7 linked regions of the Ovis aries genome follow. The protein of the gene in region 5 interacts with the protein of the main gene of each other region in a pairwise test. Links are inferred from orthologs where the notes say so. Each region holds a gene or a part of one and is shown on either strand. Other genes may lie near its edges. The genes, in order: SH2B1, RET, MAPT, CAMLG, EGFR, PRDX1 and ARPC5.

Region 1 (4,160 bases), on a different chromosome or scaffold from region 5:
GGAAAAGGACAAAGGTGGTGCCATTTATTCAGATATGTAAAGAGAGTATGGGAGAAACATAGTGTCCTGTTTGGAGTATGTTAGGTTCATAGCATCACAGTGGTAGCACCCTTCGATTTGGAAGGCTCATGAACAGTTCAAGTGCAAGTATGCACAGAGACCTGCTATGGCCAGGCACACAGTATATGGAGATAAAGGAAGCCCAGTCCTCACCCCACTCAAGTCACTTAGTCTCAGACAAGTGACACCAAGAAATACGTCCAAGTGCTGTAAGGCAGACTTATCTGTTAGGGTGTATTTGGCTTTAAGTAACAGACAACTCTAACACCATCTGCCTTAAACAATAAAGACACTTGTCATCTCACACCATGTAGAGTCCAGGCTTCTAAGATCCTCTTTGCCCACTTCTGGATTTTTGGCTTCACCACGGATGGGAGCATGATGGGCATGGTAATTCCAGGCTTCCCATCCTGATCCAACAACTCCCAGAGTCAGAAGGTGGTCTGTCTCCTCGGTGTCTCCTCCTTCTTTTTAAAATATTTATTCATTTATGGCTGTGTTGGGTCTGAGTTGTGGCACGTGGGATCCTTGTTGTGGCACGTGGGATCCTTGTTGTGGCTTACAGATCCAGAGCACTCCACCGGCTCAGTAGTTGTGGCACATAGGCCCAGTTGCCCTGCAGCATGTAGGATCTTAGTTCCCCATCTGGACTTGAACTCAAGTCCTCTGCACTGGAAGTCAGATTCTTAACCACTGGACCACCAGGAAGTCCCAAAGGTCACTTTTTTGATGTAGAAGCGGTTTCAGGACCATGAGCAGCAGCTGTTGCAGACAAGTCTAAGTCCTGGCATTTAGTGTCTGGTGGCAGTGTCAGGAGAAGCAGTTTTCTTACCAGGTCAGGTCAGACCTGTGGCTTAGGATCCATTTCTTCAGCCCGTTCCACAATTCTGTAGGCTGCCTACCACCTTGACACAGTTTTCCAACCAGCCCATGTAAATTCTATTATCTGCAAATCCAGACTCCTGTGACATAGGGTGCAACAGGCAAAAGCTCTACAAAAATTCTGTCCCTCTGGACTCTTTCCTGAGCACTGTGTTTTGCAAATTTCAGTCATTCACATACACCTCTCCCCAGATTTGCCATATATTCATATCACCCATTTTATCTACCAAGTGTTGTTTTTTTTAATTGATTCAACATTTTTTTAAATACAACATTTACAATGCCAGCCTTTCTTTCAAACTAATACACATTAAAATGAATATAGCACCACTAAAAAAGAAAGCATTAATTTAAGTACCAGCCCCCAATATTTCATATCCTGGTTAGTGGCTGATAGTGTCTTAGGATAAATTTCTAGAAGTGGAATGACTGAGGTTCAGGTTGGGGACAAGGAGAACCCTTTCATATTGTACAAGCCCTTTCTCATCAAAGCTGATGGGTTTAGAGGGCCAGGAAGACAGAAGTCTTAGCAAGTTTCTCATTGTAAAATGACAGTTAAATTATAGTTCGGTGAAGTGGCTAAATGCACACTTTTTTGGAGTTTAGCTGTGTTGGGTTCCTTAATTACCGTGATGCTCAGTTTTCTCACTAGTAAAATGGGGTCCTATCACACAGTATAACATTGAATGTGATACTGAATGAGAAGCAACATGAAGCACAACGCCTGAACCATGAAAAGCTCTAATTCTGAGTCCCCCAAACTCCTATGAGTTTAAGAAGAGTATTAAAAATAAATATAGTTTTCTTGTCTGTACCCAGATACTACTGAATCATAATCTCCAAGGGAGGAATTAAGGAATCTATTTGAAACAGACACCATCAGCTGAGTCTTAGGAGCTGATGAATTTTGGAAACATTAATCAAGGTTAAGCAGCTGCTATTATCATCCCACGGTGATGAGATGATGGATGTGAAAGTTAAAGGTCATTTACTATCCTTGCACTCATTCATTCAGTCAACAGACATTAATTGAGCACTCACTGAGTGCCCCGCCCTGTGGTAGGTGCCAGGGACACAGCGGGAACAAGACAGACTCAGGCTGCCCTTAAAGGCACAAGAAGTTGGTCTCTCACCTGGTCATCTGTAAAACCGGGTGGGTTGACCGACGATCCAGAGAATTACTCTGGCCTGCTGAGGGGCGACAGGGGTGGACAGGAAACTCTGTCCCCCCTGGCTCACAGGGCATTTGAGCCAGGGGAGGGTCTCAAAGACTGTAGGACCCGGAGGCTTTTGGACCCCTTTTCTGCCTCTTGCCCAGCTCATTTCCTCTCAGAGCTAGATGTCAGGATCTTCCTGTAAAGTAGATACTATTCCCACTTCACAGATAAGAAAACAAAGGCTTAAAAGAGAGGTGGGTCACACTAGAGACCCACCCCCAACAGGTTCTCGGGAGTCTTCCCTCAGCCTGGCCGCAGCGGCTGGTCCTACCTCCAGCTGCGACACAAGGCCGCCAGATCTGTCGTCAGACCCGCGCGGCGGGTCGGACTGGACTCCAAGTGGTTCGGGGCCAAGACGTTCCGGAGTCATCCACGCCGGGGCCGCTGCCTCTGCTTCAAGAAGGCCTGGACCGTCCCTCCGGACCTGGCCTCGCCCTCCCACGATACGTGCCAGTACAGCTCACGGCCCTGGGAACTACAACGCCCATGAGCCTCCGGGGCGTAGGCGCGCTATGAGATGCTCCACATCGCCTCCCGGCGCCACCAGAGAGAACTGCGTGGCTCCTGAGCCCGCGAGGTTGGAGGGCGCCGTGGAAAGCTTCCCCACCTTACCACCATCAGCACTTTCCTGGACGGGTTCTGTCGCGCGCCCGGAAGTTCACAGGGCCATAGAGATTGGAGGCTAGAGGGGCCCAGACGTGCCCTCTCGGTCCTAACTTCCGCCGGAAGCGACTTCCATCCGCAATTGCCCTTTCCCCGCTGCACGCGCCGGCCCCCGTGCCCGGTACTCTCTACGGCGCCAGTACGACCACAATGGCGGCCGCTACCCTGCTGCGCGCGACGCCCCTTTTCAGCGGTGAGGGGGCGGGGAGGGCCACGGCGCCCCGGGTTCACGTGGGGGTCGTCGGGAGCGGCCGGGCTCAGACCTGCGCCGTGACTCCAGGCATCTGCCCCGGCAGGTCTCGGCGCCGGCCCAGCACCACTATTGCAGGGTCTTTTGCGGCAGCTGAAGGCCCCGGCATTGCCCGTCTTGTGCCGTGGCCTGGCTGTGGAGGCCAAGAAGACCTATGTACGTGACAAGCCCCATGTGAACGTGGGTACCATCGGCCATGTAGACCATGGCAAGACCACCCTCACCGCGGCCATCACGAAAAGTAAGTGGGGTTGGGTTGGGGGGCTTCCAGCAACGCCTGCTCTGCAGGTGGGACTTGGAGCCAAGGGGGCGGGGCCCGCGGAGGAACTGCCTAGGTGTTTGGTGCTGCCCCAAAGGCGCCAGGTGGCTTCCCAGGTGGCGCTAGTGGTAAAAACCCCGCTCGCCAATGCAGGTTAGGCGTAAGAGAGGCCGGTTCGATCCCTGGGGTCGGGGAGATCCCCTGGAGAAAGGAATGGCAATCTACTCCAGTATTCTTGACTGGAGAATCTCATGGACAGAAGAGCCTGTCCATAGACTGTCCTTTTCTAAAGTGGAAAGGGCCTTGCTGAAAAGTGTGTTCCCTTCCTTCCCTTAGTTTTAGCAGGCTACAGTCCATAGGGTCGCACAGAGTCGGACACGACTGAAGTGACTTACCAGGGCACAAGGCGCCAGAAATTGGGCGGACAGTACACTGCAGGATGCAGAAGACAGATTTCCCGTGAACACGAAGTTTTTGATGCATAAGTTGGGGGACCCCCCCAGTGGCCTCCCTCCAGCCCTGGGAAGGTGCCCTGTAAGCAGAATTGTTGGCCTAGAGAAGTCACAGGGCTAGCCCTTGAGGCTCTATTTTCTTTCTGATCTGGAGTTACTAGTCCCAGGAGTTGAAGGAGGGTATCTTGGAAGGTTGCTTTTCCTAGACTGTCCTTTTCTAAAGTGGAAAGGGCCTTGCTGAAAAGTGTGTTCCCTTCCTTCCCTTAGTTTTAGCGGAGGGAGGTGGGGCCAAGTTTAAGAAGTACGAAGAGATTGACAACGCCCCAGAGGAGCGAGCCCGAGGTATCACAATCAATGCGGCTCATGTGGAGTATAGC
Region 2 (4,172 bases), on a different chromosome or scaffold from region 5:
GAGGCAGGCAACAACAGCAGGTCTGGTGGCCGCAGGGTGGCTCTCCTGAGCTGGCAGCACTGTGCCCTGGCCTTCTGCCAGCAGGCCGGCTTGGACATCTCAGCTGGCAGAGCCCCCAGCCAGCCTGTCTTGGCAGCTCCTCCTGAGGGCGAGTGACTTCACTTTGACTTCATATCTGCAGAGATGTGCACAGCTCTTACTCAGCTCTGAGCTCAGCCAGGCGGGAGGGCGCGGCTCTGTGCACAGCAGGAAGAAAAGACCCTGAAATAGGGGCACCTCAGGCCTAGGGACCTGGGATCCTCCCACCCCAAGGTCCCATGTGCTTCCTCTGTGCCTCGGTGGGGGCCTGACCTCAAAAGGCAGCTGGGAGGTGGGAGAACAGTGGCCTTTCCCCCCAGGAGCCTAGCACTCACCTACCACTTCACCCCAGGACCTCCCACCTTAGGGATCCAGAATCTTCCCTCTTTAGTATCAGATGTGTTTATGGGCATCATTTCTTGGGGCAAAAGTTAAATTCTTTTGGGCTCCAGTTCCTTCTTGCTACTTGCTCTGCCACCCTGTGAGCCCCACACCCTAAGAATCCTAATCTGCGGTCGGGGAGAAAGGGTATTACCCTCCAAGCATCCCGTTGAAGCCAGCTCCCCGTCTCTTTGAAAGGTGTGCCCAGTCTGCTGCTTGTTTTCATTGGCTGGACCAGTCCTAAAGAGGGGTTCACAAACTAACGCTAGGACACCCCCGAAGGGACTAGGAGCCACGCGCCAGGCGCACCCCTGGAGCGCGCAGAAGGCGCGCCGGCTCGCGGTCCCTCGCGGGGGCTCTGCCCTCCTCCCTCCTCCCCCCTCCCTCCTCCGGCCCCCAGAGAGGCCGCGCTCCCACCGCACCTCCCCCCTCCGAGAAATGGCGGAGGATGCGCGCCGCGCCCGGAGCCTGGAGGCGGGGCGCCTGCCTCGTCTGTCCGCTCCGGCGCACCCCCAGCCAGTCCGCCCAGACCCCGCATCCCCGCCTGGTTCCCCTGCCCTCTCTGGGCGGCAGGGAAGGTCGAAGCGCAGAGACAGCGAGAGGACGCGCAGGCTGAGGAAGAGTGACTGTGCGTGCGGAGGTGCGCGGCTCGGGGCTGCGGCCGCCAGGCCGGTGCCCGGGTCCCGCACCTCGCCCCTCCGCGTGCCCCGCCCGGCCTTCGCCCCGCGTCCGGCTCTGGTCTCCTAACCCTCGCGCCGGGCGAACCGCACCGGGCATCTCCCGGGGTGGCACCCCGCGCCCCGCCCTTACCCCCGCACCCTGGCCGCGCCCGCCCCGCCCCCAGCCCGCCCCCCTCGCCGCCCCGCCCCGCCCCTGCCCTCGCCTCGGGTGCAGCCCGCGCCCTCCCCGCCTCAGTCCCGCGCCCGGAGCCCCGCGCACAGCTGCGGAGAGTGCCTGGGAGCCCGCGCCCCGACGCTCGGCGCCCGCAGTGTTCGCCGCGCCCTCCGCTCCGGGACGGGCATGGGGCGGCCCGGCTGAGCACCGCACCCCGCCGCTGAGCCCCCCAGCCCGAGGAAGCGTCCCTCTCGCCGCGGCTGCAGTGTGTGCATCGGCGATGGCGAAGGCGACGGCCAGCGCCGCGGGGCTGCGGTTGCTGCTTCTGCTGCTGCCCCTGCTCGGCGAAGGTGAGTTCTGTCGGGGACTGGTGCCCGCGGCGGCCGGGGCGAAGTTGGCGCCGCGCGGTGGAGTGGTCGCGTTCGAAAACGCCTTTCTGTTTGCGGCGGGCAGCGGGCCACGCAGTTACTGGCCGCCTGGGCTCCGCTGGGAGTGGGGTGGTGTGGCGGGCAGCGCGCCTCGGGCCCCAGGCTGGGCGGATCTCGGGCCGGAGAGGGACGCGGGCCGGGCGGCCAGGGTCGGTGCCCAGGGCCGGAGTCGCAGCCGCGCTTGCCTGCCTGCTTGCGCCTCGCGCCACAGCGGCGTCTCGGGGCGAACCGAGCGGGTCTTGTCGGCGTTTTGGTGCAGTTCGGGGAGGACGGGTAAGGTAGCCCTAGAAAGCCTGCCACTGGGGCAGGAGGAGTTGCGTTTCTGTAAACAGTTGTTCCGTCTTGGTTTCCTTTTCGCAGTCCACGTCGGTGCGTTTCTCCTCCAGCTCTGATATCCTCTCTCAGGTGAGAGCGGAGATCTGCTCTTTTTAAAACGGTTGCTTTTCCCTTGTGCGATCTTGCCACCCTACTCCTTAAAAATCCCCCAAGCCTGTGGCCTCCAGGGAGGCTGCCCTCGAGGGCCCGCTAGGGCTGGCCCAGCGCCGCCGGCCCTGGTTCCAGTTCCACGCGCGTCTTTAGAGTCTCCTGCTGCTGCCCCGCAGGGGCACCTGAAGGTGGGGCCTTTGGTACCATTTGACGGTTCGGGGCCAACCAGCACCAAGCGCTTTGACCATCCTGGAGTGGAGTAGGGCTGTGTGCCATCAGCATCGGTGCTGGGAGGGTTCAGACTGGTCACTGTCCCCACCTCCAAAACTCTTGACAAGATGAATGAACCCCAAGGCTGTGGAATCTTTGCTCCTTACCCCCCGTGGCCACGAATTTTAGTTTCTCTCAAATTGTCCCGGATTTTTCTATCTTAAATACTTACATGTATGTATGCACCAAATTTCCCTCTGAGAGTAGCCCCCACCACCCTCCTCCACCTTTCCCTGCGGCCTTTGGGAATACAAAAGGTTCCCTGCTTCTGGCTCTGGGTCCTGCATAGACCGTCGTTTCACAGGCCTGCCCAAGGTTTCATTTGTGTGACTGGATCCTAAGCTCAAGAGGCAGATCCTTAGACTGGGATGGCCCCCAGCCAATCACAGGAAAGGCAGGAGAGAAATCCTTTCCATGCCCTGGGGAAGAATGGGGAAGCACTGGGAGTCTGGGGTTAAGGTGCTGGGAGGGGGAAACTGGCAGGCGAAGGCTCAAGACGGGAGAAGTAAACACAAACAAGGTGTTGAGAAGATCTCTTGTAACTCTGCTTTGCAACTCTAGTGATGGGCGGGTGATCAGGTGAGAGCCGGAAGCCAGGGTGGGCTGGGCGGCCTCAGAGCCTAGCAGAGGACTTCCCACGCCTTTCCTATGTTTAGCCAGGGTGTCCAGCTGAGGCTAGGAGGACTGGACTGGGGGCGGGGCCGCTAGCATGGACCTGTGACACTTGGTAGGAATGCAGGTGGCTTTTTCACAGCCTGGACTCACGGAGTGGGGTGGTGGGAGAAATGCCCTCCCATCCAGGGAAAGCAGGCCTCCTGCCCCACCCACTCTTCCAACGGCATGAGTAAGAAACCGTGACTGGTGACACAGAGTGGAGAGGTACCCAGGAGGAGACAGCCGGGCGTTTGGAGAGGCCTGCGGGCACACTTTACTCAGAGTGGCGGTCCTGAGCTCTCTCGGCGTGGTGCTCCAGACTGCCGCTAGTGAGCCGGGGCCACTGCTCCGGGACTCGCCCAGGCTGGGAGTAGCCCGGCCTCGGGGCGCCCCCTTGTGGATGCAGCCCTTCTGTGGCCGTGCCTGTTACCTGCTGGGTCTCTAGGGGATGAAAGCCTTCCCTGCTGTCCTAGACCGGCCTCCCGCAGACCGGAAGCTCTCTTCTGTGCTGGACAACTGCCGAGAGGCAGGGTAGGGAGGCAACCAGACGGAGCGGCAGTGGGCTGGACCCGAGTGTTGGGGAAAGAAAGCACTGCCTCAGGGCTGGCAGGGATGGGCTAGAGGGCTCAGGGGGGCTCAGAGCAAGGTCATAGGACATCACCAGACCCCTAGGGTGTGCCCCCCTCCACGTGTACACACTCTCATTGTGTAAGAGTGCGTGCGCCTTCAGAAAAGGTGCCATCCCAGACACAGACTCCCAGAGTAGGGCAGGACTGCTCACCCACAGCCTGGAATTTGTGTGAGGGCACAAATTCCATGGGTACGTGCACACACATACACACACACACACACACACTCCTGAATCCATGCTCACACACTCACACTCACTCTTGGCGATCACTGAGACACCACTGCCCTTTCTCAAGGATACATGATCATGAGGCTTGTAGACACACTCACGCCCATGCTGGGCCCCTCACACTACACCCTCATCTGGGAAACCCAGCCCCCCTCCCTGCCTTTCCCATACACTGGGACCCCGGTGTGTATACACAGAGACACTTGCCCCTCCCTACTCACACTCAGGGGGCACAGCCCGTC
Region 3 (3,500 bases), on a different chromosome or scaffold from region 5:
CTTTGCCCAGTGGTTTAACTATCTTACAGGTTCCTCCCCCCTCCCCCCTCGAATACAATAAGCAATCGCAAACAGGATACGTCTCACCACTGAAGTCAATTTAAATGGAATTATTGATAAAGTGAGTGGAGAGCTTGAGGGGACCAGGTGGAAGAGGGACACCGACTCCGGAGGAAATGGGGGTAGGGGTGTGCCGGCTCTGGGGGGATTGTCCTCATTTAAGGTTACAAGCCAGCATCCCTTCGCAGACTCCCTGCCAGCAACTTGACCTGATCACCTAAACCACGATCTTCAGGCTGATCCCAACACAGGCGATTCCAGAGCCCTCTGGGAAGGAAGTACTTGGAAAGCCAGACACGAGACTGCAAGGAGGGGTGCAAGGAATGTGGCCAAAATCGGTGGCAGGAAGGAGGGGCCACATCTCTCATATCTTTACACCATGTTTCCTCCTCCAGAACCCTTCCAAGACCAGCTGGGACTCAGGACCGAGGAGAGGCTCGAGGGGGGGGGGACGCTGGGGCCCATGTGATGCCTAGCATGGAATGCTCTGATTGCAAATGGAGCAGCGGCCCTGGACTCCGACCCTCCCAGCCCCACAGGCTTGCCTTTGACTGTTCCCACACCACAAGTGGCAGGCCTGGACCGAGGCTGAGATTTCCTTTAAACAGCAGATTTTGACAAAGGCTGCTTCCCTTGTCCCCATGGCAGGAGAGGGTCGGCAAGTGTATTCTGACTTGTTACCACATCAGGAAGCTGGGGCCCCCTGGGGCTGGTCGTTCATCCCAGGGACCGTAGGGGCCCTGGGTGGGCAGCTGGACCATCCTTCCTGAGGGAGAGCTTGGAGCTGAGGGGTGGGCTGCAGATCTTGCCCCAGTAGGCACTCGTGATGCGGGGAACTGTCCAACCCTCTCTCGGGGCTGCAATGGGGCTTCTCTGGGGCCATCTTCACCGCAAGACACGTGCCCTCTGCCTGACAGAAGGGAGCCCCGGGTCAGGGAGGGGGGACTGGAGCTGCTGTCCTCTCCTGGGCTTCAGGTGTTCACAGCCGAGGGTTCCCCAGTGTCAGGAGCTGGTCTCTGTTGGGTCCCCGATGCTGATGGAAATCTTTCATCAACTGGGAGAGCCACATGGGCCTTCTGGATCTGAGTCCCCGCTGTGGGGTGAGAGACACCTAGGACTCCCACGAGGGCGGGTTAGAAACCTCTTTACAAGCATTTCAAGATACATGCGTCCTTTTTTTTTTTTTTTTCTTTTCACTATCATAGTCACTCTGGTGAATCCAAGCATAAACAGACAAATCAGACTACAAGGCGACAGGGTGTGGACGGGGAGGGGAGGGCGACATCTATGTATATGTTCAGCTGCTCCAGGACAGACCACCCTGCTTCCCGCTGGGACAGGGCGGGGAAGAACCAGTTCCGAGGGGGCACGTTTCCCTTTACGGGGTGCGGAGGGCTGATGACACAGACTTGGGGTCGAGCAGCGGCTGGGCTCCAAGAGGCTGGCAGTCACAAGCTGGGGCAGAAGTGGGGGACAACGGGGGCGTGGTCCTGCCCTCGGGGCCTTGCCCGCCTGCCCCAGGGCCATGGCAGGCATCCGGGACGGCCAGCCTGCTGCCAGCTCGGCACTGGACGGGGATCGGGCCCAGACAAGGCATGGACATCCAGGGTCACTGCGAACCCCACCCTGGCTTGCGACTGTGATGGCGGTGGGGGCAGGGAACTGAGTAAGGTCGTGGGGGCCTTCGTGAGGGACACAGCTGGATGCCTATAACTCAGACAGATGGAGGTTCCTGGTGTCCGGACCTCGCCCTCCTTGACTTCCCCCTTGGTATAAAGCAGGTGTCGCCCCATCAGAACAATGTCCATTACCGAGAAGGGGTGGGTGGTGGGGCGGGGAACTCGGGACAGCGTGACGTAGTGAGGGGACAGGCAGTGACCAGGCTCCGCACGGCAGACACACAGGCGTGGTGGGGGCAGACGCAGGGCTGCATGGCCGTGGGAAGGAGGAGAGGTTTAGGACCGGAGGCCCAGGCTTGGAAACAGGCAGGTGCTCCCAAGAGGCACAAGTCCTTACAAAGAGAACTGGTTAGCCCTAAGTTCCAGATCTGTGAGGTGGCCAAAAACGCGGCTGCAGTTCCCACCTTCAGAACTCAACAAAACGGGGGGTTCCAGGGGGCGGAGGGAAGCCCCTCAGCTCAGGAGCCCCCACCCACCCTGCGAGAAGCGAGGAAGAGGCCAGCGCTCGGTGGTCTTTTCCAAGGAGGTGACCCACACGACGTCCTTCCCATCACCTTTCTTCTGCCCCGTCCCTTCTCCCCGCAGAGGGTAGGCCTCCGCCGACCCCGAGCCCCAAGAACCGGACGCCGCTTGGTCCGAGGCTGCGGCGGGCGGCGGAGGCTGTGCCCTGCCCGCGGCCCTCCAGGCAGGCCCCAGCGTCCCCGCCCCTCACAGGCCCCGCCCCCAAGGCCCCTTCCGCTTCCCGCCCCGCCCCCTGCCCGCCCCGCCCACCCCGTCCTGCTCCAAAGGCGCCTCGTGCGCCTGTGGCTCCACCGAAGTGCCAAGTTTCAAGCCCCTTGTTGCCACTGCTGCCTCGGGGACACCCCCAGAATGGGGCACCCCCCCAGGCCTGGAGAGTCCCCGGAAGCAGCTTGCAGAGCCTCCCTTCTCCCTCTTCCACTCAGAGGGGAAAAAAAAAGAATCAAAGTAACTGCCCAAGGAAATTCTGGGTGGACCCTCTTTTGGAGTGTTTTTAAAAATACTTTATTAGGACTGGCCCACCCATCAATTTGGAAAGCTGAACTTGGCTCTGTTCCGGTCACTGATTTGGAAGCCCCGAGCCAGAGCTGAGCGACAAGCAGGTTAGTGATTAACCGATGAACCGATCTGTGAGGAGCAGCTGGGGGAGGGCAGAGGGCGAAGGGCCAGAGCATTATTCTTTTTTTTCCCACACTCTCCCACTCTCTTCTCTCCACGATTATTGACCGCCCCGGGGCCTGATCACAAACCCTGCTTGGCCAGGGAGGCAGACACCTCGTCAGCGAGGGTGGCGAGCTGCGGCGAGTCCACCATGTCGATGCTGCCGGTGGAGGACACGTTGCTGAGGTGCCGGGGGGACGTGTCCCCCGACACCACGGGTGACTTGTACACGATCTCCGCCCCATGGTCGGTCTTGGCTTTGGCGTTCTCGCGGAAGGTCAGCTTGTGGGTTTCGATCTGTAAGAGAAGAGCAGGCAGGCTAAGGAGGAGAGCTGGGCCGGGTGACCGCCCGCTGGCCTTGGGAGGGAGGGAGCCATGGTGGCGCCGACGGCTTCATGGCTTCCCAACAACTAAGCTGCACCATGCTAGTCACCTGCCAGCCAGCCCCCCAGGCCCCCTCTCCAGAAGCAGAGACCGTTGTGGGTTTTTTGTGTGCCCTTCTAGGAATAGCCCACACATGCAAACATGTACGTGTGAGAAAAAATACATATACATGTACATACAGGCATATATGTATAAATA
Region 4 (3,957 bases), on a different chromosome or scaffold from region 5:
CTAAGGGTACATGATGGACTGCTATTATGGTAACAGTACAACATTATAAAATGCTAAATGCCTCTGAACTCTAAAAACATTACATCACGTTCAGGACCAAAACTGCATTTTAGTATTTCAAGTTATCTGAAAAGCGGTAATTAATATATAGGATATGTAGGTAATTTACCCTTTGGTTTTGGAATGAAACTGCCTGGGTTTAATCCCAGTTGTCACTTAGTAATGTGACCCTGTACAAATGATTTCACCTGAGTCTTCATTCCCTTCAATCTACAAAACAGATTCAAATGCTACCTGGCTCATAAGGATGAGGTTAAATGAATTAATATATGTAAAGCACTTAAAATGGTACTTAGCATATAAAAAGATTTTAGCATTATCATCAGGCTCTGTATTTAACTGGAACACTTCACTCTGTACCTAAGGCAAACAGAAGTTTATAACACATCTCCAAACAGTCACATGGATCACAAATATTACATTAATATTAGAAATGAATCTTATGGATTAAAAGCACTCATTACTATAACCAATTTTCATTTCCCACTGTTTCTTACCAAATATTTGCAGACAAAAGCTCTAACTCCAAAGGCAAGAAGAGCACAGCCCACCAATCTAAATATTCGAAAAGAGTCAAATTCTTCTGTTGTATTTCCATCTTCTTGACTGGGCTTTTCACTAATCAGCTGTTTCCTTAGCTTCATTGCTTCTTCAAATCTGGAGAGGTACTGTTCCAGGCCGTGGTGAGAACCCCTCTGGACAGAGTCGGCTGTCAGGTCCCCTCTGTTCCGCTGCCGGAGCTCAAGGCTTATATCATTACTGCACTCAGAAGGGCTAATGAAAGAGTCCAGTTTGTCTCCCAGCTGAGTTCCCTTTACCTCGGCCACTCCACTGTGGTCAGCCGGTCCTGTACTGACTGAATCACCCAGCACTACTCGCTTTGAAACCGAAGGAATGGTGAGGGAGTTCAGTTTATCACTGTCCTGCTGTTTTGATTTTGTTTGACTTTCTTCTTCTGAGAAAAGAAATTTAGAAGCCTTAAGTATTACATACTGGCCAACATCTTTCTTATTAATATTTAAAAATATGCCACTAGAGCTAAAATTTGGCAGTCTCTGAATTAATACTGATCCTTCATAAAGAAACAAATTCCTTCCTCTACACACAAAAAATGTCAAAGACAGTATTCTTTCAGAGGATATAACCCAAATTTTGGGGACAGAAGACAAAGCTAATAGACAAGTTGGGAAAGAGGAACGGAGATATTCTAAAACAACTATTTTTAATATTACATTTCTGAATCCAGAGTCCGATCAGCATAGGGTGTGGCATATCCTCCTGCTACCGGTTTGCATAACCCTTCTACTGTAATCTAGGAGACATTAGAAGGTACTTCAGCACTTTTAGGATGCTGTTCTAGTTTAAAACAAAACAAAGGGCGGGGAACCTTTAATGACAGACAAAATAAAAATCTCAAAGTAAAAGAAAAAAGAAAATGCTTTAAGAAAGAATATTCTGCTATTAACCATTAAAGGAGAAAATGTGTCTCCTAACAATTGTTCTAGAATTTGAAATAGGGCTCTTACCTCTCTTGGCAGTTTTCAGTGGCAAATCTGTGAACTGTCTAAAAATTCTGAGTTATATATCTAAAGCCCCACAGAGCAAAAGTCACAAGGATCTAAGGAACTTGCAGCCAGTGACTGAAGGCCAAATATTAGAGGCAACACTAAATAGAAATGTAAGAGTGTACAGTAAATACAGGGGAAAAACCAATTTTTTTTAAGAAACCCATTGTACATGTCATTGGGGGAGAAATGAGGAACTCCTTTCAGTGCTGAAGGCAGTTCCTGACATCATTCATATCAATCTCTGCACATTACGAGATAAGGCCTCACATGGGCACGTTTCCCTTGTTGGGTCTCTAAAGAATGGTCGCTCCAATTTTTTTCGCCTGTTTAAGAAGGCCTGCAGATGAGTGTCGAGGGCACCGCACAGACACCTGGATATGGGGCCGTGGTTCACGTTGGACAGACTACAGGGGCAGTTCAGTAAAGACAAGCTCATGAGGGCCGACAGAGCAAAAAGAAGGCAGACGGTAAGGAAGGCACTGGAAGGGAAAGCATTGACAAGGGAAAGAAAGACAGGCAATCTTCCTGACGGGCACGGTAGGTAGAGCAGTCTGGGAATAAAATGTGCGGCCTTCAAGAGAGGCGAGGGGGTGACGAGGGCAGGGTTGGGGCCGCCTCAGGGTCAGTGCGCAGAGAGTATACCACGGCAGAGGGTCTCAGGATCGAGAGCATTGCAGTTTGCGGCGGAAAACTAAGGAGAGATACAAGAAACGTCCTGCGGTGAAGAAGTGAGAACCTGGGACCTCATCAAAGGGGCGGGGCCGGAGGAGAGGTCAGAGAGCAGGGCTTAGTCAGAAAAGTCAAGGGGTGGAGGAGGGCAAGGAAGAATGATCCCCGAGACTCAAAAGGGATGGGCAGGAAACTATGGGGAACGGAGGTTCTCACCCGCGCTGCTCCCAGGCCTGTGAAAGCCCATGATTCGGTTGATGCGCTGTTCCGAGTTCATGAGCAGCTTTCTCCGCCGCAGCTCCGCCCGACGCTGGGAAGCCGACAGGCCTGAACCAGCCGGGGCCCCCGGCCGGTCCCCGCTGTCGGTAGCGACGGCGGCCGGCTCCATCTTCCCCTCCACTGTCCAGGAGTGGTGGCGATGACGTGAGCGGCAGCCGCGGCGCCCCAGACTTCAGACTGGGCCGCAGGCCGCGCGTGCCCCTACCGCTGTGGACCCGCCCCCCAGAGCGCAGGGCCGCACATGCAGCGTAAACGGGCGCGCCGCCTGTCGGGACCAAGCGCGAGCTCTGCGCCGCCATCTTGAGTAAGGGCATCCTTGGCCGCTCTAATTCCTCCCACCTGGGCTGGTCCTTAATGCTCCTCCCCCGCCATCGGGCGCCGTTGCCGTTCACTCGGAGGTGAAGAAACCCGGCATCCGGTTTGACCCATTAGAAACATGTGAGCAAGGAATAGACTCCGCCTACCTGATGCCAGGAAGCAAAATGGAGCTTGGAGTGGCAGGCACTGGTTTCCAGTGACCTTCTTCGGGCTCGCTTAGAGGCGTCAGGAATACGTAACTTCGAGAGCGACGCTTTATGGAGCGTTGCGGCTGGGATTTGTTCTTGGTGCTGATTCCTCATCTTCAGCAGTGCTTCTACCAAATGCATGCCTGTTTTGATAAAGACTTTCCCAGTGAAGCCTTCCCTGTCCACTCTATATTGTCGCCCCGACTCAACACTCTCTGTTCTCCTTATCTGCCCTTTGTCCTTAACAGTTATAACTGACTCTCAAGCTGAATGTACTTTTATTATCTGCTTCCCACTTCGTAAGATATAAGCTCCATGAAGACAATCACTGTGTTCGTAAATCTAGGGCTGCAACTCTTAGAACAGTGTAGGCCCTCAACAAGGGTGCCTTATCCATTACACCATGTTGACAGCATACAATAGGGGCCCAAGAAAATGTTTTAATTTGAATTTTTTATTGAAGCAAAGTTGATTTATAAGATTGTGTTAGTTTCCAGTGTACAGCAAAGTAATTGGTGTATATATGTGAAGGTGTTAGTCCTTCAGTTCTTTCCAACTCTGTGTGGCCTGCCAGGCATCTCTGTCCATGCTATTCTCCCGGCAAGAATGCTAGAGTGGGTAGCCATGTCCTTCTCCAGGGGATCCTCCCTACCCAGGGACTGAACCTGGGTCTCCCGCGTTGCGGCAGATTCGTTACCATCTGAGCCACCATATGTATGATGGGCTTCCCAGGTGGTGCGGTGGAAAAGAATCTGCATTCCAGTACAGGAGACAAGTAGGTTTGCTCCCTGGGTGGGGAAGATCCTCTGGAGTAGGAAATGGCAACCCTCTCCAGTTGCCTGGAAAATTTTATGGACAGAGGAGCTTGGCAGGCT
Region 5 (3,500 bases):
TACCCTCTCAAGGAAGAAAGCTTCCTGCAGCGCTACAGTTCAGACCCCACTGGTGCCCTCACCGAGGACAGCATGGACGACGCTTTCCTCCCAGTACCCGGTGAGTACCGCTCGCTGGGGTTGGGGTGGCGGAGGGGTGTGTGGGTTCTGTTCCATGGCCTCGGGCCCTGGCCCGGGCCAGCTGCTTCCTTCAAGCTGGTTCGGCGGTAAGAGCCCACAGTAAGAGTGCAGACCAAACGAAAGGAGAAGGAGGGCAGTCAATAGACAACGACCAAGTATGCACATGGGTCCAGGCATGTCCAGGTTGTCTTTAGAAGGACTCTGCAGATTTTCTAGAATTTGAAGCCAAAAGTAAAGATTTACATGTGTGAGTGCTTGAGAGAGAGAGTGTGTGGTGTGTGTATGTGAGACAGAGAGAGTGTGTGAGAGAGAGAGAGAGAGTGTGTGTGTGAGAGTGTGAAAAAGTGTGTGAGAGTGTGTGAGAGAGTGTGTGTGAGAAAGTGTGTGAGAGAAAGAGAGTGTGTGAGAAAGAGAGTGTGTGTGAGAGTGTGTGAGTGTGTGTGAGAGAGAGTGTGTGAGAGAAAGAGAGTGTGTGAGAGAGAGTGTGTGAGTGTGTGTGAGAGAGAGTGTGTGAGAGAAAGAGTGTGTGAGAGAGTGTGTGAGAAAGAGAGTGTGTGTGAGAGAGAGTGTGTGAGTGTGTGTGAGAGTGTGTGAGAGAAAGAGAGTGTGTGAGAGAGTGTGTGAGAGAGTGTGAGAGAGTGTGTGAGAAAGAGAGTGTGTGTGAGAGTGTGTGAGTGTGTGAGAGAAAGAGAGTGTGTGAGAGAGAGTGTGTGAGAGAGAGAGTGTGTGTGAGAGAGAGTGTGTGAGTGTGTGTGAGAGAGAGTGTGTGAGAGAAAGAGAGTGTGTGAGAGAGTGTGTGAGAGAGTGTGTGAGTGTGTGTGAGAGAGAGTGTGTGAGAGAAAGAGAGTGTGTGAGAGTGTGTGAGAGAGAGTGTGTGTGAGAGTGTGTGAGTGTGTGTGAGAGAGAGTGTGTGAGAGAAAGAGAGTGTGTGAGAGAGTGTGTGAGAGAGTGTGTGAGAAAGAGAGTGTGTGTGAGAGAGAGTGTGTGAGAGTGTGAGTGAGAGAGTGTGTGAGAGAGTGTGTGTGTGAGAAAGTGTGTGAGAGAAAGAGTGTGTGAGAGAACGAGAGTGTGTGAGTGTGTGAGAGTGTGTGTGTGAGAGAGAGAGTGTGTGAGAGAGAGTGTGTGAGAGTGTGTGTGTGGGAGAGAGAGAGTGGGTGACAGAGAGCGTGTGTGAGAGAGTGTGTGTGAGAGAGAGAGAGACAGATTAGTTCCCTGTTCTCTCTCCTGGCTCCATTTCTGGCCTGTGAAACTTGTATTTGCTTAATCTAAGCTCTGTCCCCAGACAGCCAACCTGCACAAACACACGTCTCAAGGGAAGCAGTCCTCTGAAAACTTTAAACTTTCAAAAGAAAAGCATGCACATTTCTTTGAGCAGTACGAAAAGAACACAATTCATTTTAGCAAGAGAGTCTTCTCCCTAGGTTTCCCTGCCTCTGTCGTCCAGCGCCTCTTTGAAGAATAGTCACAGGGTTTAGAAAGAGCTGTGAAATCCTGTTGAGGATGATGCTTTGCTGATTACACTTGATTTCTTTTCAATTTCAGAATATGTAAACCAATCTGTTCCCAAAAGACCCGCAGGCTCTGTCCAGAACCCTGTCTATCACAATCAGCCTCTATATCCAGCTCCTGGCAGAGACCCTCAGTACCAAAATTCACGCAGCAACGCCGTGGACAACCCTGAGTATCTCAACACCACCCATCCTGCCTGTATCAATGGTGTACTCGACGGCCCTGCCCTCTGGGCTCAGAAGGGCAGTCACCAAATTAGCCTAGACAACCCTGACTACCAGCAGGCCTTTTTTCCCAAGGAAGCCAAGTCGAATGGCATCTTTAAGGGACCTGCAGCTGAAAATACAGAATACCTGCGGGCAGCACCAGCAGGCAGTGACTTTACTGGGGCCTGACCATGGAGGACCACCTCAGCCATAAACTTCTAGCCCCTTCCACCCCCAGGACCAAGCCATGGCAGCTGTTGAGTCCTGACCGCCATGCTGACATTATCTCTTGGACCCACAGACTGGTTTGTCCATATTTGCCCTGATCAACCCACCTTTCAACCAAGAAGTGCCCCTGACTCAGATGCACTTTGCAAAGTTGCAGGGACATTCCTTTGTGTTCAAACTGTGAGGCTTCCACAAAAGGCATCCAGAAAGAATGTTGTCCATTTGGGAAGAAGTTCACCTTTCAGTGAGGTATATTTGAAAAATACTAAATATGTTCAAGGAGTTTTATTGCTTAGGAACATCTGGGTTTTTTTTCATTGACACTGATTTTACTTCTAATGAGCTTTTCTAAGAAGGAAAAAGCTTGCTCATAGCACCTGTGGTACTGAGTTGACCCAGGCCCAGCTGTGACTGAGACGCATGAACCAGCCTTCCAGGTAACACGTGATTCCACTGGCTCTGCTTGGAGACTTCTCTATTGCAAGACAGTTGAATAACCAGCCAGTCCTCTGAGTCCTCAGCAAGCCACATTGGTACTATATCAGATCAACGCAGGTACAAGACAATAAGCCACTTTGAACTCTTCCTAAGCAAGGAAGAAACAGAGGGAGTAGAATTCTTCCTCAGACTTACTTTTATATAGATGTCTCCACGGTACTTTCTCTCCTTTGGGTGACCAGTGTTTTCTAATTAAAAGTATTAGACTTGTTTATTTTCCATTCCATAGTTTTGAAACCCAGTATGCTTTCCCTGTACAGCCAAACAGTAACCACGGTCAGCTTATATGTGATTCATGGACATTCGGACCATTGCCTTTAATTGAGATGGAATGATAGTGCAAAAAAGGAACAAATCCCCCAAATCTGAGTCTTAGAGGAAATATATTAAGTCTTTGGAGGTCAGGGGACAGGTGTCTGTCTGAAGACTGCATATGTGATGCTGCTCTTGAAACTCTTTGAGCTCCCCCAGTGCTCTCCCCGACACACACACGAAACAATTTGTTTAGGCTACTCCTAGAAGATAATTAATTATTTTACTTCGAGGGATTTTTACTCAAAGGGCACTTTGCTCCTCACTGGGAAGTTGCCCAGATCCCTCCTTGCCCTTGGTGAGTTTCAGGGTCCAGGCACGCGGGAAGCTGTGCAGGAGGGCCTCACCACTATGGCGCTTTTCACAGGTGAAATAGAGACAGCATTATGTGTCATATGAAATTCAGGTAAATACGAAGTTTGACTTTGAAGTTGATGATAATGCCTTCATAACATCTCCAGGTACGTGGGAAGAAGAAAACAATCCCCCCTTAAAATAACTCCCTGTAATTGGAGGACCCGCTACTTACGACACAAGCTTTTTCTCATCTGTGTCCCCAAACCCTGAATGTTACATAGTTCTTTGTAGACAGTGTTGTAAACACTCTTAGTCAAGATCCATCTCAGC
Region 6 (3,500 bases), on a different chromosome or scaffold from region 5:
CCCTTTTCTCTGCTAAAATGTAATACAGGTTAACTCAAAGATCCTCCCCCCAAAAAAGTGTAAATTCAAGATAAAAGAAATTTTAAAGAAAAACAGGAATGTAGGATATACAAATATCAGATCATTATGTGGTACACCTGAAACTAACATGCATCTCAATTTTAAAAACAGGACTGTAGGATTATTTGTCAAATAACATGACAGCACCTCATAGAGTGCTTGATATCCACAGGCACTCAGACACTAACTATCATATTATAAGCCATTAAAGACTGCACACAGAAAGCTGTGCTTGTTTTAGTGGGATGGGAAGCAGCAGACAACAAGAGTGTTGAGAAGCAAGCTTCACAACTCATGAAACCTTGGGTTCAAGAGTCTATCCCAGTAAAAATTAATTTAAAAGTCTATACTACACATGCAAGGGAAAGTCAAATAAAGGGCCAACTTTGCCACCCACTCCTCAGCTCCTTCCATCTTTGTTCTGAACCATTCTCCACCAGAGGGCAGTCTCAGCAGCTGTCTGCTTCAATCCAGAGTAAACCCTACACATACTTCTGCAAATGGTGCCTTCTGATTCCCATTACCTACTTGCCTTCCACTCCAGCCAAACTAGTACTTTCGGGTCCCCCAAACACCACTAATCCAGACTCTTAACTTTCACCTCCTGTAACTCATGAGATGTGAATTGAACAGTAGCAGTGATCACAACTATTTTATATCCTCAATTACATTAAGCTGGGGTAGCTGGGTGGGGTTCAAGATCCCCTTCCCCCTACATATCCAGCACTTGAGCAGACTGAGGAGTTGTTCTTTTTTTTTTTTTTAAATTTTAAAATCTTTAATTCTTACATGCGTTCCCTAACATGAACCCCCCTCCCACCTCCCTCCCCATAACATCTCTCTGGGTCTTAAAACTAAACTCTTAGTTGGAATACGGTGGTCTCATTACAAGCAACAACTCCACTGGGCCAAAGTGGGGAGTTTTCAGAAGCTACAGTCTTGTAAACTGAGAGCCTGGGAGCAAGCAGTTCAGGACTTTATCAAAAACACTTCAAGGAGACTATTTCAGATGAGAAGGACCAGAGCAGTAAGAAAGACCTACACTCTAACGAATGCTAGACAAAAACCATATAATTGAATCTTCTCAGTAATGTTTAGATTTTACAAGGACAGACTCACAAAAACATCTTTAATCCTGAAACTTCTCGAAGGACCTTGAGATTTCATCTCAAACCCTCTTGCCCTAATCCCTCCTCAAAAAATTTTTTATATTGAACATTTATATAATTTGGTATTTGGTGACTATAATTCTTATAGATACAAAAAATATTCTGCACAACAGAATGAATTTTTAAAAGACAAAAATGTTAACACCTATGAGATCCTCCTACACTTTAACAAGTTGAATCTGCAGCAGTAAGTAATTCTAAATGAGCAGGGTAGAAGCTGGGAATACACAGCTGGAACAAAAAGCCTTTATATTCTCCTCCCCAAGCTTTTCTATTACCTCACCCCTACAACCCACTATAATCCAGAGACTGAAATTTCTTAAAGAGACATAATAACCCTTTTCCTATCTGGTAGACTTTGTTCCCACCGTCTTTCCCACCCTATCACTCCACTGTCCTGTCACCAGGCAAACTGGCTTACCTTCCCCATGTTTGTCAGTAAACTGGAAGGCCTGAACTAGTCTCAGTGTCTCATCCACAGAGCGGCCAACAGGAAGATCGTTTATGGTGATCTGTCGAAGGATACCTTTATCATCAATAATAAAAAGGCCCCTGCAAGAAAATATTAAAGGTCAGAGGGAGAGATAGTACAGTTTTAGAAATTGCTGTTAGAGTAAATCAGCAGAAACTGGCCTTCCCCTTAGGTCCTGCATAAAGAATGAAACCATTATGCCATCCACCTTAAACTTACACAGTGATGTATATCAATTATTCTCAACAAAACAGGAAGAAAAAAACAAAATAAAAAACGTCTCCACAGATCACAGCTCTACTTATAAAAGATCTTCAGCCAATCATCCAGTTTCCTGGTGCATATATACCTGAATGAGATGCCTTCATCGGCCTTTAAGACCCCATAGTCCTGAGCAATGGTGCGCTTGGGGTCTGATATCAAGGGAATGTTCATGGGTCCCAGTCCTCCTTGTTTCTTGGGTGTGTTGATCCTACAGTAAAAAAAAACACACATACGATCACACTCATTCAAATTCTTCTGTAACAAAAGCATTAACTGTGTCTATCCTACCCCAACGTTGCTAATCTAACTCCCCAGAAAACTTTAAATTCTTTCCATCAGTAAATGGTGGTTTAGTGGCTAAGTTGTGTCCAACTCTTGCGACCCCATGGACTGTAGCCTGCCAGGCTCCTCTGTCCATGGGATTTTCCAGGCAAGAATACTGGAGTGAATTGCCATTTCCTTCTCCAGGGGATCTTTCCAACCCAGGAATTGAACCTGGGTTTCCTGCATTGCAGGCAAATTCTTACCGACTAAGCTATGAGGGAAGTCCAGCGGTAAGTGGCTGAGGCCAATTAAAATCACCAGGGTACACTCAGCTGCAACCCAAGCTGCTTTTTCTCTGCTGCTAAGTTATAAGAGCAACAAGAGGAAGTCAGAGCATTTGCACTCCTTCCATGAGGAGCCAGAAGTCAATACTTGAAAAAGTCTATTGCCAAAGCCTCCTGGTTCCAGTTGCTGCTTAAAAGCTCCTATGCCTGGACTTCCCTGGTAGTCAGGGATTAAGACTTCTACCACGTTTCCACTGCATGAGGCACAGGTTTGACCCCTGGTTGGAGAATTAAGATCCCACATGCCACACAGCACAGCTACAAAAAAAAAAAAATCCATAATTTATAATTTTCTAAAATAAGCCCATGCCAAATGGACCAAGAGATTTACCATGCCAGGTGACAGAAGTGAGAATCCACAGAAGCACCAATTACTTGGCAGTTCAGTTTCTTAAATTCTTCTGCCCTATCACTGAAAGCAATGATCTCCGTGGGGCACACAAAGGTGAAGTCAAGAGGGTAAAAGAAGAACACAACATATTTTCCTGGGAAAAAAAAAAAAAAGCCTGTTACCCTTTGAAATAGACTTCCTTGTTTTGCAGAGAATGTAAACCTAAAGACATTTTCCTATGGGAAAAAAGAAGCCTTTTTTTTTTTTTTTCAACTGATGGCAGACAACTGTTAAAACACCAAGATGCGCAACACAGATGATGCCTAGCAGCTACTGTAGAACCTCGGCCATAAGAATTTTCCTTCTTCCATGTTAGCTGCCAACTACAGATAAGCACTGTTCAGTCTAATTTTGATCTTCTCTGAGTAGTTAAAATTAACACAAACACCAAGTTCTTCTGTGAAGAAAAGAAAAAACAAGGATGCAATCATCTACTGCCAATACTCATATAATCAGTGCCCAGAAAGAGCTGAATTGCTGGATTCTCTGCCACAAGGCAACAAGACCAACAAGAGAAAGTCAGAGCCTTTGCTATT
Region 7 (3,500 bases), on a different chromosome or scaffold from region 5:
CTAATACTGCAAAGCAAAATGCATGAAAACAGAAAAAAGAAATTAAGAATTCTTGATCCTACTCCTGATTTCATTTTTTAGAACTGTGATAAAATATGTAACATAAAATTTGCCACATTAGCCATCTTTAAATATAAAATTCAGTGGCATTAATTACGTTCAAATATTGTATAGCCATCACCACTATCTATTTACAATACTTTCCCATCTCTCCAAACAGAAACTCTGTACCCATTAAGCAATAACTCTCCAGTCTCCCTTCTCCACAGGCACTGGTAATTTCTAATCCATTTTCTGTCTCTATGAACCTGCCTATTCTAGATATTTCATGCAAGCGGAAGTGAAGTGAAGTGAAGTCGCTCAGTCATGTCCGACTCTTTGCGACCCCATGGACTGTAGCCTACCAGGCTCCTCTGTCCATGGAATTTTCCAGGCAAGAATACTGGAGTGGGTTGCCATTTCCTTCTCCAAGGGATCTTCCCAACCCAGGGATCGAACCCAGGCTTCCTGCATTGTAGGCAGACGCTTTTACCATCTGAGCCATCACAGTATTTTGTGGAATACAGTATTTTGTGTCTTTTTGTATCTGGTTTATTTCACTTTGCATAATGTTTTCAAGGTTCATTCATGCTGTACCATGTAGATAAACATTTTCTGGTCAAGTAATATTCCCTTGTATGTCTGTGTCAGATTCTGTTCATCTGTTTGGGCATCCCTGATGGCTCAATGGTAAAGAATCCACTTGCAATGCAGGAGATGTGGGCTAATACCCTGGAGGAGAAAATGGCAACCCACTCCAGTATTCTTGCCTGAAAGATCTGATGGAGACGAGCCTGGTGGGCTATGGTTCATGGGGCTGCGCAGTTGGACATGAATGAGCAGAGCGACTGCACACGCATGCATGCACGTTCATCTGTTCATGGATGCGTGGGTTTTCCAGCTTTTGGCAATTGTTAAAGAATTCAAATCAGCATCTCAAGACCAAGGCTAGCAAGCATAAATCTAAACTTTCATTTTCATGCATTTATTTGTAGTAACCACCAATGTATAACCAAAGAGTCAAAACAGGTATTTAGGCTAGAGGTTGTCAATGTTTTTTCCATTACAAAGGAACCAGTCATACAGATTGTATAATTCATGACTTACCTTTTCATGCCACTGCAATAACACAGCACTGCTATTGTCAGAGGGGCTCTCAAAGCCTTTATAAATATACTTCATTAGGAGATCCACACCATTCTTGTCCAGGGATTGAACTGCTTTTTCAATATCGTTAGCTTTAAAAGAGATGAGCACCTTCAAGACAATGCTGCCTGCGCGATCCTGAAGGTAAATAAACAACAGATCGTTCAGTCTCATTTTTGTGTTGGGTAGTTCCAGTTTTTAGAAAGGCTGCACTGCGAGTGTGACATTCGGGTAGAGACCTGAAGAAAGGAAGAGGACACCTTGGGTGTATCTGAGGCAAACATTTCAGAGAGAGAAGAGTAACTGCTGCTAGCGTGTGTTCAGTGTGCTCAAGGGACAGCAAGAAGATGAAGGGGGCTGGAGTGGAGTGCAGGGCAGGAAGTCAGAGAGGCAGTAGGAAGACAGAACGCGTAAACCCTGCAGGCCCTTATGAGAACTCTGGCCTCCAGTCACAGAAATGAGAAGCTGTTGGACTTCCCTGGTGGCTCAGAGGTTAAAGTGTCTTCCTGGAATGCGGGAGACCTGGGTTCGATCCCTGGGTCAGGAAGATCCCCTGGAGAAGGAAATGGCAACCCACTCCAGTACTCTTGCCTGGAGAATCCCATGGAGGGAGGAGCCTGGTAGGCTATGGTACTGAGCGACTTCACTTTTGCTTTCTTTCTTTCTAAAAAGAGTGATGTCATCTGACTTACATATCCCATGGAGGGAGGAGCCTGGTAGGCTATGGTACTGAGCGACTTCACTTTCGCTTTCTTTCTTTCTAAAAAGAGTGATGTCATCTGACTTACATTTTAACAGGACCAGCTGGCTGTCATATTGAAAATAAGCCCGGGGCAGCAGGAGGGTCGGGGGAGCAGGAGACAGAAGCCTGGAAGCCAGCTTGGAAGTTCCTGCACCAAGACAGGCTGGCTTTGGCTGGCATGGCAGCAGCAGAGGCAGCCAGAAGCAGACAGAGTCTCGACATATTTGAAGGTAGAGCTGAAAGGGTTTACTTACAGATAGATGTAACAAATTATCAATGTATTAAATCAATACATTTCACTTCTTGATTTAAAAAAAATAGACCAAAAGAAGGAAACTGAATTATAGTTCTACCCTGATGCATCCTTCAGAAATGTTATTAATAAATAAAAATTTAAGTTTCTAAAACTTATTTTTCATTTCACATCTATAGTCAAGTGACTATAGGTATTAGAGTGGTCTTCATTTATAATGATCTTTTTCTTTGATGAATGACTGCTCCAACAGCAGTTGCTTTTCACCTAGCAAGCCAAGTACACAGAACACTTAATTTCCCCTTTCAACAATGTTTCTCTTTCTATTCAACACAAAGTGATACCTTCTGCATTCCTGCCGGTCATGATCTTACAGTATGCTTCTACCACCTTTTGCTGTCTTCAGTTTAAAGACTATGCAATTATCCGTTTAGAAAAATATCCTTGTATGGAGAGCTATAACCTCCCACCCACACGCTCTGATTAAAAAAAAACACCCACAAAAAAGCAGAAGGTGGTAAAACGAAATTTCAATGACGTTACTCACTTTTAAAAACCAAAGAAGCATTTCCTCTTATAAAAGATTATGTTGCCTAGATAATAATGCATTTACCTAAGTTATTATTTACTAGTATTTAACTAAGGAGATACTTGGGGCTCCTAGGATGTGTGAATGGCTATGGACAGTGGGGGGATCAATGCTCTGGGTGTGGGATTATGGACGATTACATTTTTATTCCCCCATATTGCTGAGTTTTCTACAATACTTAACAGAACTAAACATTAAAATTTAATCTGAAAAAAAAAAGAAAAAAAATTTAATCTGGGCTTTAAACAATTAAGTAAATAGGTTCTTAAGAATTACTGAAAGATGGTTAAGAGGCAATGTAATTTTACAACTTTTCTGAAGGGTAGTATGGCAATACCATATGTAGCCTTAAAAAAATGTGCAGTCTAAAATCCAGCCATTCACTTCCAGAAATTTATTCAAAGGAAACAATTCAGACTTTACCAAGAATTGTTCATTTCAATACTATTTATGACAGGAAAAAAGTCAATAAATATATGATGAAAGTTTATATATAACTAAACTGCAGGATTATCAAAATACAGATGTTAAAAAAGATATTATAGAAATAAACTTATTACCAAGTAAAGCTGTTCATGTATGCTGCTATACAGATGAAAAGCAGTTTATCTATTTTAATGAAAAGAAAAACTCATAGAAAAACTCTATAAGCATACAGCAACAACAAAAAGTAATGATTATCTACAGGTATGGAATTATAATTATTTTCATTCCCCCACATTTCTGAGTTT

What was found.
Region 1: the proteins of EGFR (region 5) and SH2B1 interact in binary tests that used the Homo sapiens proteins (3 or more experiments, as listed by UniProt). The link is inferred for Ovis aries from reciprocal best matches to the Homo sapiens genes EGFR and SH2B1.
Region 2: the proteins of EGFR (region 5) and RET interact in a protein complementation assay, tested with the Homo sapiens proteins (3 studies listed by BioGRID and IntAct, with this or other methods). The link is inferred for Ovis aries from reciprocal best matches to the Homo sapiens genes EGFR and RET.
Region 3: the proteins of EGFR (region 5) and MAPT interact in a protein complementation assay, tested with the Homo sapiens proteins (3 studies listed by BioGRID and IntAct, with this or other methods). The link is inferred for Ovis aries from reciprocal best matches to the Homo sapiens genes EGFR and MAPT.
Region 4: the proteins of EGFR (region 5) and CAMLG interact in binary tests that used the Homo sapiens proteins (3 or more experiments, as listed by UniProt). The link is inferred for Ovis aries from reciprocal best matches to the Homo sapiens genes EGFR and CAMLG.
Region 6: the proteins of EGFR (region 5) and PRDX1 interact in a protein complementation assay, tested with the Homo sapiens proteins (2 studies listed by BioGRID and IntAct). The link is inferred for Ovis aries from reciprocal best matches to the Homo sapiens genes EGFR and PRDX1.
Region 7: the proteins of EGFR (region 5) and ARPC5 interact in a protein complementation assay, tested with the Homo sapiens proteins (2 studies listed by IntAct). The link is inferred for Ovis aries from reciprocal best matches to the Homo sapiens genes EGFR and ARPC5.

The regions. Positions count from the first base shown.
Region 1 is NC_056077.1:26,477,881-26,482,040, forward strand, and holds the start of SH2B1 (SH2B adapter protein 1), read right to left. Parts: upstream 2,801-4,160; 5' UTR 1-2,800. Other genes in the region: TUFM (elongation factor Tu, mitochondrial), read left to right, coding at 2,973-3,015, 3,119-3,313, 4,051-4,160. UniProt on the Homo sapiens protein: Adapter protein for several members of the tyrosine kinase receptor family.
Region 2 is NC_056078.1:12,795,838-12,800,009, forward strand, and holds the start of RET (proto-oncogene tyrosine-protein kinase receptor Ret), read left to right. Parts: upstream 1-1,372; 5' UTR 1,373-1,573; coding exon 1,574-1,643; intron 1,644-4,172. UniProt on the Homo sapiens protein: Receptor tyrosine-protein kinase involved in numerous cellular mechanisms including cell proliferation, neuronal navigation, cell migration, and cell differentiation in response to glia cell line-derived growth family factors (GDNF, NRTN, ARTN, PSPN and GDF15).
Region 3 is NC_056064.1:45,741,946-45,745,445, reverse strand, and holds part of MAPT (microtubule-associated protein tau), read right to left. Parts: intron 3,216-3,500; coding exon 3,000-3,215; 3' UTR 1-2,999. UniProt on the Homo sapiens protein: Promotes microtubule assembly and stability, and might be involved in the establishment and maintenance of neuronal polarity.
Region 4 is NC_056058.1:43,871,335-43,875,291, reverse strand, and holds the start of CAMLG (guided entry of tail-anchored proteins factor CAMLG), read right to left. Parts: upstream 2,801-3,957; 5' UTR 2,686-2,800; coding exon 2,514-2,685; intron 1,016-2,513; coding exon 558-1,015; intron 1-557. UniProt on the Homo sapiens protein: Required for the post-translational delivery of tail-anchored (TA) proteins to the endoplasmic reticulum.
Region 5 is NC_056072.1:885,938-889,437, reverse strand, and holds part of EGFR (epidermal growth factor receptor), read left to right. Parts: coding exon 1-100; intron 101-1,662; coding exon 1,663-2,024; 3' UTR 2,025-3,500. UniProt on the Homo sapiens protein: Receptor tyrosine kinase binding ligands of the EGF family and activating several signaling cascades to convert extracellular cues into appropriate cellular responses.
Region 6 is NC_056054.1:20,139,439-20,142,938, forward strand, and holds part of PRDX1 (peroxiredoxin-1), read right to left. Parts: intron 3,059-3,500; coding exon 2,905-3,058; intron 2,174-2,904; coding exon 2,051-2,173; intron 1,782-2,050; coding exon 1,651-1,781; intron 1-1,650. UniProt on the Homo sapiens protein: Thiol-specific peroxidase that catalyzes the reduction of hydrogen peroxide and organic hydroperoxides to water and alcohols, respectively.
Region 7 is NC_056065.1:64,118,550-64,122,049, forward strand, and holds part of ARPC5 (actin-related protein 2/3 complex subunit 5), read right to left. Parts: intron 1,324-3,500; coding exon 1,147-1,323; intron 1-1,146. UniProt on the Homo sapiens protein: Component of the Arp2/3 complex, a multiprotein complex that mediates actin polymerization upon stimulation by nucleation-promoting factor (NPF).